Stegostoma tigrinum: one gene and its partner. The protein of the gene in region 1 interacts with the protein of each later gene in a pairwise test. Links are inferred from orthologs where the notes say so. Each region holds a gene or a part of one and is shown on either strand. Other genes may lie near its edges.

Region 1 (7,504 bases):
GGGAAATGTGAAGTTTGAGTTCAATTAAAAAAAGTCTGAAATAGAAAGCTAAGTAACCACAGTCAATTGTCATTAAAAAAAAATCTAGTCAACTATTCAGGGAAAGATATATGTTATCCTTATCTGGTCTGGCCGATTTGAATTCCAGACCTATAGCAATATGGCCACCTCTTTAAATGACATCTGAAATGGTCCTTGGAATGCACTCAGATCAAGGGGCAATTAAGGATGTTTGATTTGCCAGGAATGAATTAAAAACACAATTGGAACTGCTGAGCTACATCAAACCTTTCAGACTCTTTCCTAGGATAATAGCAGAGGATTTGAATGTTTATTTTAATCAAGGAAACTTCATCTTTGTTCTTCCTCCTCTCACATAAAATTGGTAATCCCTTCTGAATTCTCAAAGAAATGGTTCTGTATGCTTTTTAGGAAATGAGTGTTATCTTTTTTGCTTCCTGGTGAACTTCAGAAAGTCTGATTCTAACGGACGTGTTATTTGTCACTCCATTATCGGAAGGAAATCATTGTCTTCAAAATGGTACATAGCCAGACACACAAAAATTCCTGGTTATCAGGAATTTAAGGAAAAATAGTTACATATTTTCAGTTAGAAAATTGAGTAATTTTCTTGACATTTTCAACAGTATTCAGAGAATTCACCAATCTAATAAAGATATTTAAATTAATTAAACAACTTCTGACACCAAGCCACCTGAGGAGATATTAAGCCAGCTGACCAAAAGGTTGGCCAAAGAAGTAGGTTTTAAGGAGTGTCTTTGTGGTCAAAAAAAGTTTTTATTTGTGGGGTGGTGGAATCTCAGATCATAACACCTTGGCAGTGATGGGAATGGAAATCACTGGTGGAGCGACTTAAATCAGGAATGCCAAAGAGGTCAGAATTGAAGGTGTGTAGACATCTTGGAAGATTTTGGCTTTTCATTCATGAATCAAATGGGATTTTTACCCCTGGCAATTGACAATAATTTTGTGGTTATCATTAAACTCTTAATTTTTGTCATTTATTGAATTCAAATTCTATCATCTGCCATGGCGGGATTCAACCATTATCTGGGTGTCTGAATTAACAGTCTAGTGAGAATATCACTAGGCCATCATCTATTTCCCATGTTAGAAATGTTTCAGAGATAGGGAGTGGCCAGTTCACAGTGAGATTAGAAAACAGAATGATTTTAAAATTCAAGTTCTGCTTTATCAATGGATTACTCGTTCAGGAACATTATCACGAAGTCATCATCATTCTGCTAGTTGTCAGGTTTGCACCACATAACACACAATGTTACAAAAGATTGTCACTTGTAACAGTCAAATAAATTTAATTTCAATATTCTTGTCATTTTTACACCTTTTTAATATAGATTCGATTTATGCTTTGTGTCATCAGATTGCTTCTACTCACTGAGATTGGTATGTTAAGTCCATGGATGTTGCTGTATTTGAGATTTCTGCAAGTGCGCTAGTTTGGGGAAAGCAAATTTTATTTTTCCATTTCTCAGTGCTGATGCACTCCCCACAACATTAACAAAATGTATTTCAATAGCCACAAAATTGTCTGGCAGCCAATAAAATGCAGTATTAACGTATATTTTTCTTTTGCATTTTCTTACCATTATGTGTCCTTAACCATCTGTCCAGAGTTTTCATGCTTATTTTGAGTAGCTTATTATAAAATGCAATATATAATAGAATCCACATCAGATTTTTTTGCCCCTGGTATCGTCCAGAGATGTCTTTAGCTGTTTATAGAGTCATAGAGCCATACAGCATGGAAACAGGCCCTTCAGTCTAACCATTTCATGCCAAACACGGTCCCAAACTAAACTAGTCCCACTCGCCTGCTTCTGGCATGTATCCCTCCAAACCTTTCCTATTCATGTACTTACCCAAATGTCTTTTAAATGTTGTAATTTTACCCACATCCACCACTACCTTAGGAAATTCATTAGGCGTGCAAGCCACCCTGTGTAAAAAAAAAGCCTCATGTCTTTTACAAAATAACTCCCCTCTCACTTTAAAAATGTTACCTCTACCCTTGAAATTCGCCCATCCTAGGGAAAAGACAGCTACCACTAACCCTATTTACGTCTTTCATTAATTTCGAAACACTTATCAGGTCACCTTTCAATCTCCTATGCGCCAGTGAAAAAAAGTCCCAACCCTACCAGCCTTTCTTTACATCTCAAACCTTCCATACCCAGGAATATCCTGGCAAATCTCTTCTTAGCCCTCTCCAGCTTGATAAATATCCTTCCCATAACCGGGTAACTAGAACTGAACACAATATTCCAGAAGAAACCTCACAATCGCCAGGTACAATATCAAATTGACTTCCCAACTCCTACACTCAAAGGACTGACCAATGAAGGCAAGCGTGCCAACGCCTTTTTAACCATCCTGTCATTATGTGGCAGAATTCACAGAATTACATACCTGCACCCCTAGGTTCCCATGTTCTACAACACTACCCAAGGCTTTACCATTAATTGTATAAGTCCTACCCTTGTATGTTGTACCAAAATGTGATACCTCACATTCATCCAGATTGAACGCCACCTGCCATTTTTCAGCCCATTGACCTATTTCATCACAATCCCTCTGTAATCTTGGAAAACCTTCTTCACGGTCTACTGTGCCACCGATTTTGGTGTTTTCCGCAAACGTACTAACCATGCCTTCTACATTCTCATCCAAATCATTTATAGTACATTTCTAACAGACTTTAACCTGCAAACAGTCTACTCCAATTAACTTTTGAAATTTCTCGTCTCATACCATTAAAATTTGCTTTATTCCAATTAAAACTTTAACTTTTATGGAAACTTATCCTGTTCCATAAACATTTTGAAACGAATAGAATAATGATCACTCAACTCAAAAGTATTCCCCCACTTTTACGTCAGTCACCTACCCTGCCTTATTGCCCAAATGGTCTAGTTTTGCTCCTTCTCTAGTAAGAGCATCCACATATTGAGAGAATTTTTTCTTGAAGACTTTTGATAAATTCTTCACCATCCAAACCTTTTAACACTATGGTAATCCCAGTGAATGTTTGGAAAGTTAAAATCCCCATTATTACTACCATAGTATGATTACATATATCTGAATTCTCCCTACATATTTGTTTCTCCATTTCCCTCTTCCTAGTAGGGGGTCAAAAGTACAATCCCATTAAAGTGTTCTTTCCTTTCTTATTTGTAATCTGAACCCACATATTTTCACTGGGTGATTTTTCAGAAATGTTTTTCCTAATTACAGCAGTAACGTATTCCCTCATCAGAAATGCTGCCGCATCCCCTCCCTCCCTTTCTTTCCACCTTTTCTATCCATCCCATGGCACCTAATACTCAGAAAACTGAGTTGCCAGTCTTGGCCATCTCTCAGCCCAATTTCTGTAACAGCTGTAATTTCCCAAACACACGTTCTTAAAACATACTCTGAATTCATGAGCTTTACCTGTAAAACCCCGTGCAATGAATTAAATGCAATTTAGTTCTTCAGATTTACCACATTCTCTGACTCTCTCGTCTTTCTTTCTTAATTGACGTGCTTTCCTCACATTCAGGACCTTCCCTATCAATCCTTCTGTTTACACTGTTATTGAGAATTCCAACATTCCCCCTCTCTGTAAGTATAAGGTCTTCCATAATGGAATGAGCAAACCTCCTGTTAAGACATTGGTCCTCTTTCCAGTTTGGGTTAGGCCCATCTGTTTTGATCAAGACTTTTCTATTCCAAAAGATGTTTCAATTGTCCAAAAATCTGAAGGGTCAGAAACTGTTGTTATGAAAATACAAATAAATCTTTTGCCTTTCATAATATTCAGGAGTGGTTCTGTCTTTGAACTTCTCTACATCTGCATCTCTTCTCCCTTTAAAAACCTTTTACTTTCCAATTTTCTCACTCTTGTGATTCAGTGTACTTTTCTTGTTTACTTCCTTTGAAGTGCCTTTAAATACAACTTTAATGAAGTTAACAGTGCTATAGAAAACAACTCATTAATTTAAATTGGTCACTATGTTTGAACAAAACCGCTGGGTTCTCTCTTTCTTGACCAGGCTGACATTTTATTTTGATCAGAGATGGAAGAGAAATATTTGACCCTTTACTCCTTACTGTGTTGCTGCTTGGTATTTGCATTTGACAGGAAAAGCCGTGCACCTCCAGATAATTTCCCTCAAAAATCAAGATGCTACCTAATCTTGAGATGTATTGATGAAGAGTCAATGAAGCCTTCGAAACATTCATTCTGCTTTCTTCATACAGATGTTGCCAGGGCTACTGAGTTTCACCAACAATTTCTATTTCAGATCTAGTATCCACAGTTCTTTGTTTGTGTTCAGTTCAGAGATTACACAACTCTTGAAGAAATGGGACATACACCCAAAGGAACTTAACCAGAATTGCTCTCATTCCTCCCCTCCCACCTGGACACAGCCGCAGGAAGTGACGACATCCCAATCAGGTCACGTGGCCGGAAGTTGTTGCGGAGCAGAGACGGAGGGTGATAATCGGGCTCTGAGCGGAGATGGTGAGGGGCTACGTTAGAGGCAGAGGGATATGGAGAGGTTTTTTTTTACCGGGGATGGTTTTACCTTACCGTGCTCTGCTCTGTGGCTGTAATACTGGGGCACACGGGGCTGACTGATGCCGGTTTACATTCTGATGAGTCACCCGCTCTGGGCCTGCTCTCACAGAGCCAGGCCGGGGAGAAGGTAGTCTCCCGGCAGCGAGCCGGCGGGAATTCCCATCAGACGATATCATTCACTTCACCCTTCCTCATTCTCCTCCTCTAGTGGTGCCCCTGGAGCTCTCTCCCTAATAAAGCGGTTTATTAAAGTGTCGCGGGTAGCGCTTCATTGTGTGTTGTTTCACTTCCCGTTGGCTTCAGCAGACCTGTTCTCTTACCTCGTGTGTTCCGTGGGGTGGGGTATTTCGCGTGTGTGCAACACATTTCATGCTGTCGAGGTACTGTATAGTCCGTTAAGTACTTTTGACTGCTGTCTGTGTACTTTGCACATTCTCCTCGCGTCTGCGTAGGCTTCCTCTCCAGAGGCGAAAGATATGCCGTTTAGGTTGATTGGCCATGCTAAACTGCCCATAGCGCCCAGGGATGTCCAGGTTAAATGGTTTAGCTGTGGAGACTGCAGGTGTACAGGGATGGTTTAGGGAGGTGAGTCTGGGTCGCATGCTGTTTGGACAGGTCGGACTAGATGAGTCAAATGGCCTGCTTCCACACTGTAGGGATTCCATGGGTTGAGATAGTCATTGTCAGTCTGGTCAGAATCTTTCATGATCTAGTGCATGTTACATCCTAAGAGTAGAAGCATCAATGGATGGAATTTTGTGCCAAGTAAGGAGTGCTACAGGCTTCACTTACTATGTTAGGTGCCATATTCCAGTTGTTTATAATTCAGGCATAATACATTTGCAGCTTTGGATCTTTATTGTATTCCTTCACTGGGTCAAGATCTTGGAAGTCTCTTCCTAATAGCAATGCTTCTATCTGCAGCACATGGACTCCAGCAGTCCAAGAAGGCTGCTCACCTTTACCATCGCAACTTGGAATGTGTAAGAAATGCTGATCCAGCCAACAATGCTTGCATCTTGTGCATAAAAATATAAATAAAGGAGTGCTCCATCTGAAGACTGAACAGTGGCCTATGTCGCATAATAATTCACTCTTCTGATTATATGCTCTATTACATTTTTGACATTTGTAATATTGTTTTTTTACAGTATTCCAGAGGACTTAAATCTCAGTTGAAGGACAGTGTTCCTGTTGGTGGACTGGCTTCTAATGCAGGACCCTATGGTGTGCATGATACGTTGCGCCGGGGGTAAGTGCAATATAGCTTTTGTAGATATTGATTGCTAAAATTAGTGCTGAATAATGCTGAATTTACTTGCTTGTAGTATGACAGTCATGTGTTTGGAAACAACTGAATTAGTGGTAAAATAATCCAGTTGTTAAATCTTTAGATTGCATTTGTCTAGATAGTTCTTTTCCGTTTGACACCGTTACAGCACAATTTGTTCTTGATCTTTGCCATTGTATTCAGTTTTAGTCATCTGTGGACAAACAGTTTCTCTAGGTTGAACGTAGAGTTGATTAGCCAGAACTGATTCATGCATTAGTTTATATTGTTGTTACGAAGTGTCTAAATTGATGAATGCACTTTTCAGCGAATGCTGTTCGAGCTGAAGCACTTTCTTTACTCTGCAGTCCCAAACCAGTCTCAAATGCAAGTTATTTATCCTTTGGAGCTGCATTGTTTTGATGCTTTCTTTCCCAACAATAAGTGTCACACTTCAAAAGAGTATTGTCTTATAAAGCATGAGAAAAATTGAAATATGTTCAGGTGTATAACATTTATGACGGTATTGTCATTATTATGGGTCTATCATGATTAGTCTGTGTGATAATCCCAATTGATGCTAATACTGGACAAGTCAATAGCTGAGTGAAACCTGTCATGATAGACTTAAATTTTGTTTTTGTAATTTGTGGTCAGCCACTGAATATATCCTCATGAGGCTGCCAATCAACTGTGAGGAAGAATGTAAGTTTGACACACAAGGAAAAATGCAAAATTATGACAAATAGTCCAAAGAAAGATTCAGAGATAGTGAGAACTGCAGATGCTGGAGTCAGAGATAAAACTGGAGCTGGGGAAACATAGGCCAAGCAGCATCAGAGGATAGGAAAGTTGATCATTTTGGGTTGGGACCTTTTGGAAATGGGGAGGGGGAAGGGAGCTCAGAAATAAATAGAGAGGAGGGGTGGAGCTGGGGAAGGTAGGTGGGATGGAGATAGGTGAGTGCAGGTAGGGAGTGGTGGGGATTGGTCAGCGAGGTGGAAGGGCAAATAGGTGGGAGAGATGGGCAGGTTGTCAGGTCAAGGAGATGGGATGAGAGGGAGAGTTGGTCATGAGATGAGGTCAGGGTGGGGGATTTTCAAACTGGTGAAATCCATGTTTAGGCCATTGGGCAGTAGGCTCCTGAGGTGGAATATGAGGTGCAGCTCCTCCAGTTTGCGGGTGCCGTCACTGTGACACTGGAGGAGGCCAGGATTAACATTTGGGCAGCACAGTGGCTCAGTGGTTAGCACTGCAGCCTCACTGCACCAGGGACCCGGGTTTGATTCCAGCCTCAGGTGACTGTGTAAAGTTTGCACATTCTCTCTGTGTCTGTGTAGGTTTCCTCAGGGTGCTCCGGTTTCCTCCCACAGTCCAAAGATATGCAGGCGAGGTGATTTGGCCATACTAACTTGCCCGTAATGTTCAGGGATGTGTAGATGGATTGGGGGGATGGTGGTTGTAGGTGGGATAGGTCTGTGTGGGATGCTCTGAGGATCAGTGTGGACTTGTTGGCCCAAAGGTCCTGTTTCCACACTGTAGGGATTCTATGATGATACCCAGAGTGAGAGGGGGAGTTAAAATGGTTCGCGACTGGAAGGTGTTATTGTTTGTTGCAAACAGAGTGC
Region 2 (8,058 bases), on another chromosome or scaffold:
ATTCTCACAGATCACCCCACCAGCTCTCTCACAGATCACACCCCCCAACTTTCACAGATCACACCCTCCCAACTCTCACAGATCACCCCCAACTCTCACAGATCACCCCCCAACTCTCACAGATCACCTCCCCAACTTGCACAGATCATCCCCCAAAATCATACAGATCATCACCCCAACTCTCATAGATCATTTTCCACAACCCGCACAGATCACCCCCCAACTCTCACAGATCACACACCCAACTCTCACAAATCATCCCATAAGCCTTACAGAACACAAGCCTCCAACTCTCACAGACCACACTGCCCAACTCTCACATATCAAACTCCCAACTCTCACAGATCACCTCCCCAAACTCACAGACCACACCGCCCAACTCGTAGACCACTCCCTCCAAATCTCACAGATCACCCCCCAACTCTCATAGATCACCTCCCCAACTCACACAGATCATCCCCCCAACTCATACAGATCACCCCCAACTCTCACAGGTCACTTCCCAACTCTCACAGATCACCCCCCCAACTCACAGTTCATTCTCCCAACTCTCACAGATCACACCCAACTCTCATAGATTACCCCACCATGCCCCTCACTCTCAGAGGGTTTCTGACAATTTAAAGCCTAAAAATATGATCCCAGCCACAGTTTGTTTGTGATATGCATCTGGGAGAAATAATTCCTCCCCAAATCCACGTTCAGTGGGAGCCCCTTCCTGTTTAAACAGCTCCTTGTTGTTCTTACACAACATGGGTACGATCAGCATGATGTTACAGAAAGATAGGGCAAGCTTGAAGAGCTGTGTGGCCTCCTCTTTCTGATGATCTCTTTGTAACTCTATGTGTCCCAATCTCAGGATGGGACAGCTCCCAGAATCTGGTTTTGTGGTCCAGTTTACCTCACTGTAAGACAGCGGTGTGAGGTGCTTGGGGCGGGGGCGCAAGATCAGGCTTGTCTGGTGATGCTACTGCTGTCAACTTGCTGGCCAAGACTCATTGTTTGCATGCATGAAGGAGAAAGAGGGCAGAGATCTGCGCGGTGAAGCATTATTGATGTAATGCCAAAGGGAATGTGGCAGGAGTAAAGTCCAAAGCAGCAGAAGAGCCCACACTGCAATCTGAAGGGGACAGCAGAATTTGCACCTGAAAGGTGTTCCTCCCCAACTCCTTGTCTTTCAAACAGGCATTCTGCAGCCCTCTGCACTGACTCCCAACATTGCCAAGCCCTACTCTCTGGCACCCATTTTGTCCCTTTGCCCAAGCAGGTTTCCAATTCAAACAGGTTTAGCTTGCAGACAGTAACACAACTCTCAATCAGTAAACAACCCCTGGCCCCACTCCAGGCACTGTCACTCCTCATCTCCAAGCAGCTGTGGGAGCCTCATTCCCCTGCCTCTGACCTCCCTCACAGGGTCAGCACCTCACACTCACCATCACACACACAGTCACCATCCCTCCCCTCAGTGTGAGCAGTGCACATTCACCCTGACACACTCAGCTTTTTAGGGCAGCCTAGAGAGAAACCAATTCGGGGAATGAGGAGAGCTGGGGCTAGATCGTGCACTCTCAGGGACAATCACGAGGTTAAAGTTTTCAAGAACACTTGTGACTCATTTGTGGATGAGGTTGCAGACATGCTCACCGAGCTGATGTATTTGGTTGCAAAAGTTTTGTCACCCTGCTAGGTAACATTGTCTGTCCTCCTCTAGTGAAGCATTGATGCTCTGTCCTGCTTGTTATTTATATTTCTCAGTTTGTTGGGGTGGTTGGTATTTCTTCTTGTTCTGTTTTTCACTGGTTTGTACACAGGGTCTAATTCAATATGTTTGTCGATGGAGTTACAGTTGGAATGCCAGGAATTCCCTAGCATGTCTCTGTGTGGATTATGCGATTATGGATGTGTTGTTCCAGTCACATTTGTGTCCTCCATTATCCGTGCGTATTGAGACCAGTGAGAATTGGTCATGTCACTTGGTGGCTAGTTGGTGTCCATGTATCCATATTGTAATTTTCTTCCAGTTTGGCCTATGTAGGTATCTTACAGTCCTTGCATGGTATTTGTAAATTATGTTATTGTTATTGCTTGTGGGTATAGGATCCTTTACATTTGTCAGTAGCTGTTGCAGGGTGGTTGTTGGTTTGTGGGCTACTCTGATACCTAGTGCTGGGGGAAGGGGACTAAAGGAGCATATTTCCACGCCCCCCCCCCCCCCCCCGCAGACCAGGGACAAAGACTCAGCAGGCAGGCAGGATTCAGGCAGTGACAGACTTTATTCATGCAACAAACAGTTAATGCTGGGAGAGGGCCAAAGATCTTCCCTGAATCTGGCCTCGATGCGAGAACCCAATTTTTCCCTTAATCTATGGCTCAGATTGGAAGAGAGATCAATGGCACACTCTGATTCTTGCAGTGAAAGATGACATTTTTATACATTTTGTGTTACAATAATCACATACAGCATGGACACGTTCCCTTATTCTATACATTCAATCCTATGATCCACTGAGTCAATGATGGGCTCTTCTATGAACAGCCCTGTGTTTCCATGATTTCATGGTGTTAACAGACATTGTAGTCGCCAGACCTTGGAATCTTTCTATGCAACCTATTAATTCACACTCCAAAATTCCTGGTTATAATCCTTCAGACCTGTCCCAGGCTTGCTTATCTCTAAGGGCTGCTTGAATTCTGTTATTCATTGTAATCCATGTGCTATTTCTATCAAGTTCTGTTATTCCTTCCATATTTTCTACTGAGCCAAATATGTATAAAAAAAGACAGTTGGTTTTCTAACTAACTGCCTTAAGAGTCATAGTGTTAATTTCTATTTTACAGTTAGTTACACATGAAGATTTATAACCACTTCTACTGTTAGCACCTTTTAACTTATAAGTCGCAAACAATCTATTTCGCTCAGGACGTGCCAAGCACATTTTTAGAGACAAGGAAAGTGGTTCCCAAGACTAATTAACTTTCACATCAAGGTTTAAATGTTTTTCCCCTAATGCTTCTATTGTATTTTGGTTATACGTGTATCTGTACTTACATTGAAACCTATCCCTATAACTATCTGAAGAATCTTTAACTGGAACCTATTTCTTAATATTGTGAATAATAAAGAAACAACTAATTCCTACAAAATAACTTTAGCTGTTGTTTTCATAGCTGCTAGATGAGTTGGGCTGACTAGTTCATGGACTAAGATTTACACCCCTTGTTCTAATTGGTGCTGTTCACCTAATGGGACAACATCCTTTCATTAATGAGGCTGGAATCAATCACGTCTTATTTTAATAAACTTGAGTATATCCCTAGATATTCCCGTACAAACTGTTCCTGTGCTGCATTGGCTATGTTTGTGCACCTGTCCAAATGTTTTTTAAATGTTCTAACTGACGTTCTCCAGGAGTATTTGTAAGAAATGCACTGAACAATAAGAACATACACTTGATGGAAATCAGGTCAATATGATAAAACTATGAACATTATTTTTTGTGAAATTTGAACTTATTATGCAATCATACTATTGTTTACCAAAGCTGGGTGCCTGGATGTTTATGCAATCTTTGTAAACTGCCTTGAGTGCCTGGCTGGACATACTGTACATCTCCATGATTCTGAACTGAAAGGAACCTGCAGGGTGAGACTTTCCCCAGAGATTACTGATGCAGCACAAGCACTGACTTCTCATTGGGTTTTAGTGCATCACTCTTATTTAAAAACAGAGACTGCTCAGTGTTTGATGTTAGACAATTCCTTCTATTTGAAAGCAATAGGACATTTGGGAATCATTTTCCTGATTTTTGATCATTGGGCTGCATTAGTTTAATCCAGGACTGTTTGGGAAGGGCGAGGGGAATGTGCCCAGAATTCCAGGTCGAATATTCAGTGCTGAGGGAAATTGGAGCCAAAGCTACTGGCAGTGAAAACTATCATAAAATCATCACATTCAGACCCTCTCAGACCTCCATGACCCTCTCACTCTACCCACCCCCAACTATCCCAGTCTGACTCCTTAATTCCCCTCACACCCATTCTGAATCCCTCATTCTCCCCATCCCAATCTCACCCCTCATTCCCTCAAATCCCACCCCCTCATTTCCCCAATCCCAATCTGACCCCCTCATTCCCTCCGAATCCCAATCTGACTCTTCATTCCCTCAAATCCTGTCCCCTAGTTCCCTCCAACCCAAATGTGAACCCCTCACTCCCCCATTCCCAATCTGACCCCTTCATTCCCCCAATCACAATCAGACCCCTTTATTCCTCCAATCCCAATCTGACACCCTCACTCTCCCCCAATCCCAACAGGATCCCCTAAACCCAATCTGACCCTCCTCATTCACCACCCCCACCCCATCCCAATTTGATTCCTTTGTCCTGGTGTGATCCCTTATCCAATGTGATCTGTGCTATCCGCATGTTTCCAGAAAGATGCCCCTATTCCAGCATGATCCTGCCATGACCTGACGTGATCCCTCTGTCCCCCGTTGTTCCAGTGTTAGTCTCTTTGTGCTGGTGTAATCTAGCTTCAGTCACTGCTCTGGTGTGACCTAGTATGACATGTCCTGATATGATCTGCTGTGAACTAGTGATCTGCTGTGATCGCCTGTCCCTGTGATCTATTCTGAGCTCCCAGTCCTGCTGTGATCCTCTATTCCTATATGATCCTCTGTGATCCCCATCCAGCTGTGACCCTCCTGTCCTGGTGTGATCTGTTGTGATCCCTCTGTTCCTGTGTGACCTGCTGTCCCAATGCAATCTGTCGTGAACCACTGGCTGCCATGATCGCTGTGATCCTCTGTGATTCGTCCTGACCCACTGAGGTCTCTGTTATCTCCCGTGCCAGTGGGATCCTCTGTGACCACCACCCCAGTCCTGTACCGCTGTGATTCGCTGTCCCTGTCTGATCCTCTGTCCTGGTGAGATCGCATGTGATCCACCTGTTCTGTGATCTTCTGTGCCAGTGTGATCTGTGACCACCCCCTTGACCTGCCGTGAACCCTGTCCCGCTGTTACCAACACCAATCCCACCCCCTCCCCCAGACCCCGTCCCGGTGTGATCCGTTGTGACCCATTCTGGGTGGTGCTGGCGCTGTTTCGGATCTGCAGTTACTTTCGGTTGCACTTTCGGAGCTGGAGCTGAGGAAGTGAGGCGTGGAGATGGCGCTGATGGAGGTGTGCGGCGTTCGGGACTGGAGTCGGAGCGATCTCCCTCTCGGACAGAGCAGCCTGCTTCTCAGCCCAGGGCAGCAGCTTGGTCTCTGGGCCAGGGACGGGCAGCTGGCGGTACCGGTTGGTCTGGATGTGAGTAACTGCAGGTTGATTCCTGACCCTGTCTCTGTCGGTTCCGGTTTGTTCAGTGAGGTCCCGGTTTCGGTCACAAATCCCTGAAGAAAACGATCAGAGATATACGGGGCAAGTGGGGTCAGGCAGACTGGAGTACAATGGCTGGGAAAGCGTCTAACAGAGCTCCAGGACTGCAGGAGAGAGGAATGTGTGTGTGTGTGTGAAAGAGAGAGAGATAGGGTGGCAGTACGTGAGAGGGAGGAAGAGTCAGTCCAGTTCATGTGGTGACCATCACTCATGACAGACTTCAGGTTGACAGTCGTCACTATCCTGCTGCAGATGTTAAGAGCGTGCGGATGTTGACTGGAATAACTCCCTCTCAGGGTCGCTAACTGTACCTGCTTGCGGGTTCCATGACCTGGCCCAGGACAATCACCGATTTCACTGATAAATTCTCCAGGTGGTTATTTCTGATCAAAATCTTCACCTTTTCCAGAGTTATTGCAATAGTTCATTTCATTACTGCTGAGTTACAATATTTTAATCTCAGCCTAACATAGAAGCACTTAAAAACAGAAACGTTTTGAATCATGAGGTCACTGCCAGGCTCCATAGGTTTTTCAGTTCATTCAACTAGATTAAACTTCCATTTGGCTAACCCAGCAAATGTTAAGCTAATAACCCCACAATCTATGATAAACATTATGAACCACCAACATACAGCTGTATGAGTAACCCCCTAATAAACTCTCCCATACAGAAAGAAAAGGGCGTCACAGGGCAGAGTGAATGACTGGGAAAGCAGTTCAATAGTCCCTGTCCACAGGGGTCACTGAGATGGTCCTTATGGCTTCTCAACACTTGCTGATCTCCCTCTCTGGGTATTCACATTTATTTGTAGAAGGTAGAGAGTGACTGGCTCACACTTAGAGAGAGACTCTGACTTGCAGGTCAACAGCCACAGCTTAGAGTAACTGTTGTGGGAAACAGAAATGGATTTGCTTCAGACTTGAGGCAATTTTTATTGCAGAGAAGGGAGGTTGTTTGGTGGCACAGTGGCTCAGTGGTTAGCACTGCTGCCTCACAGCACAAGGGATCTGGGCTCAATTCCAACCTCAGGTTACTGTCTGTGTGGAGTTTGCACACTCTCCCTGTTTCTGTGTGGGTTTTCTCTCGGTGCTCCGGTTTCCTCTCACCATACAGGTTAAGTGGATAGGCCATGGGAAATGTGCAGTTACTGGAACCAAGTGGAATGGCATACTCTTTAGGCGACTGGTGCAGACCGGATAGGCCAAATAGTCTCTTTTTGCATTGTAGGGATTCTGTAAATCTACACACTCCTGTTCTTGCGGAGATCCAATGGCATTTGACTCAAATATTTATGCCCACAATCTGTTCGAATTGCTGGAAACCAATCGCATTGTTGTTGGCCAGCCTTTGCCATCGTTAACCAGTCACTAGCACATAGACCAATCAGCCACTTGTTGCTGGTTAATTCTCCATTCAGTCTTCTTCTACAAATCTTATCTGCAGTGCCTGAACACACAGTCAGTGTCAAGTTGCCTCCTTTTAAAGAGTAACATTCCTTCAGCTATCCTTGGCTTTTAAAACAGTAATTTTTCCCATTTCAGTCCAAAATGAAAAATAAAGGAAAGTGAAAAGTTTTTAGAGTAACCATTACTGAGGCATGGCTGCAGGATGATCAGGATTAAGAACTAAATATACTAATACACTTGGATACTAGATTTTCAGAACTGATAAGGAGAATAGCAGAAGGAATGAAATAGCCTTACTGATTAGAAACAAAATTACTTCAATGGTGAGGAAGGGTATAATGAGGGGAAGGCTTTCAATGGAGATTGCACGGATAAAACTGAGGGACAGTAAAGTATCTAAAACTAACAAATGTGGTGCAGAGAACCACCTGGGAGCAGCTCTGAAGTGTTAGATCACACAAACACAGAAATTAGTCAATCGCATAGAAAAGTCAAGAGTTGTCTTGATGATAACAAGGTGTGGAGGTGGATGAACACAGCAGGCCAAGCAGCATCAGAGGAGCAGGAAAGCTGACGTTTCGGGTCTGGGCCCTTGTTCAGAATTTTCTGAAAACACAAAAAAAAAGCCTTTGACAATTAAACAGATAAGAGATAGCATAAAAATACAAATAGCAGCACAGATCCTGCTGAATGAAAAAGATACAAAAACCAGCAAAGGGCCATAAAGCAGCTTATAAAGCTGGTGAAAGGGATTATGAAAGGAGATTTGCCAGAAACATCTAAAAGAAGAAATGTCATTGTTACATAAAAGGCAGGTGGGTGGTCAGAAGTGATGTTGACCCATTAAGAACTGAAATTGGAGATAATTATCAATGACCATGGGGAAATGGCTAACATTTGGAATAATTACTTTATCTAAGTATTTACAGTAGAAAAGGGTAGTTTGACAGTATAAGGAAATGTATAGTGGATCAGGAACGGAGACTGAAAAAAAATAATGTAAGTAAAACAGCAATAATGAAGAAATTAATGCAATTCAAAAGTGGCAAATCGCCAAGTGCTGACAGTTTTCATTGAGGGGGTGAAAGGAAGCAGGGAAGCACAATGAAGACACCCTAGCTGTATAGTCTTTCACAAATCTCCAGTTGTTCCCTGCATTGGAAAACTGCACACAGCAGTCTGTTTTTTAAGAAGAATGAAGAGGAAAGGCAGGGATTGTCAGATGCATTAAACTAACATCTGTGGCGTAGAAATTGTTAGAGGCTACAAT

The links. The genes of interacting proteins can lie anywhere in the genome.
Region 2: the proteins of pomp (region 1) and psmb8a interact in a two-hybrid assay, tested with the Homo sapiens proteins (2 studies listed by BioGRID). The link is inferred for Stegostoma tigrinum from reciprocal best matches to the Homo sapiens genes POMP and PSMB8.

What each region holds. Positions count from the first base shown.
Region 1 is NC_081359.1:79,199,325-79,206,828, forward strand, and holds the start of pomp (proteasome maturation protein), read left to right. Parts: upstream 1-4,444; 5' UTR 4,445-4,546; coding exon 4,547-4,549; intron 4,550-5,757; coding exon 5,758-5,858; intron 5,859-7,504. UniProt on the Homo sapiens protein: Molecular chaperone essential for the assembly of standard proteasomes and immunoproteasomes. Degraded after completion of proteasome maturation. Mediates the association of 20S preproteasome with the endoplasmic reticulum.
Region 2 is NC_081387.1:1,253,970-1,262,027, reverse strand, and holds the start of psmb8a (proteasome subunit beta type-8), read left to right. Parts: upstream 1-5,037; 5' UTR 5,038-5,166; coding exon 5,167-5,310; intron 5,311-8,058. UniProt on the Homo sapiens protein: The proteasome is a multicatalytic proteinase complex which is characterized by its ability to cleave peptides with Arg, Phe, Tyr, Leu, and Glu adjacent to the leaving group at neutral or slightly basic pH.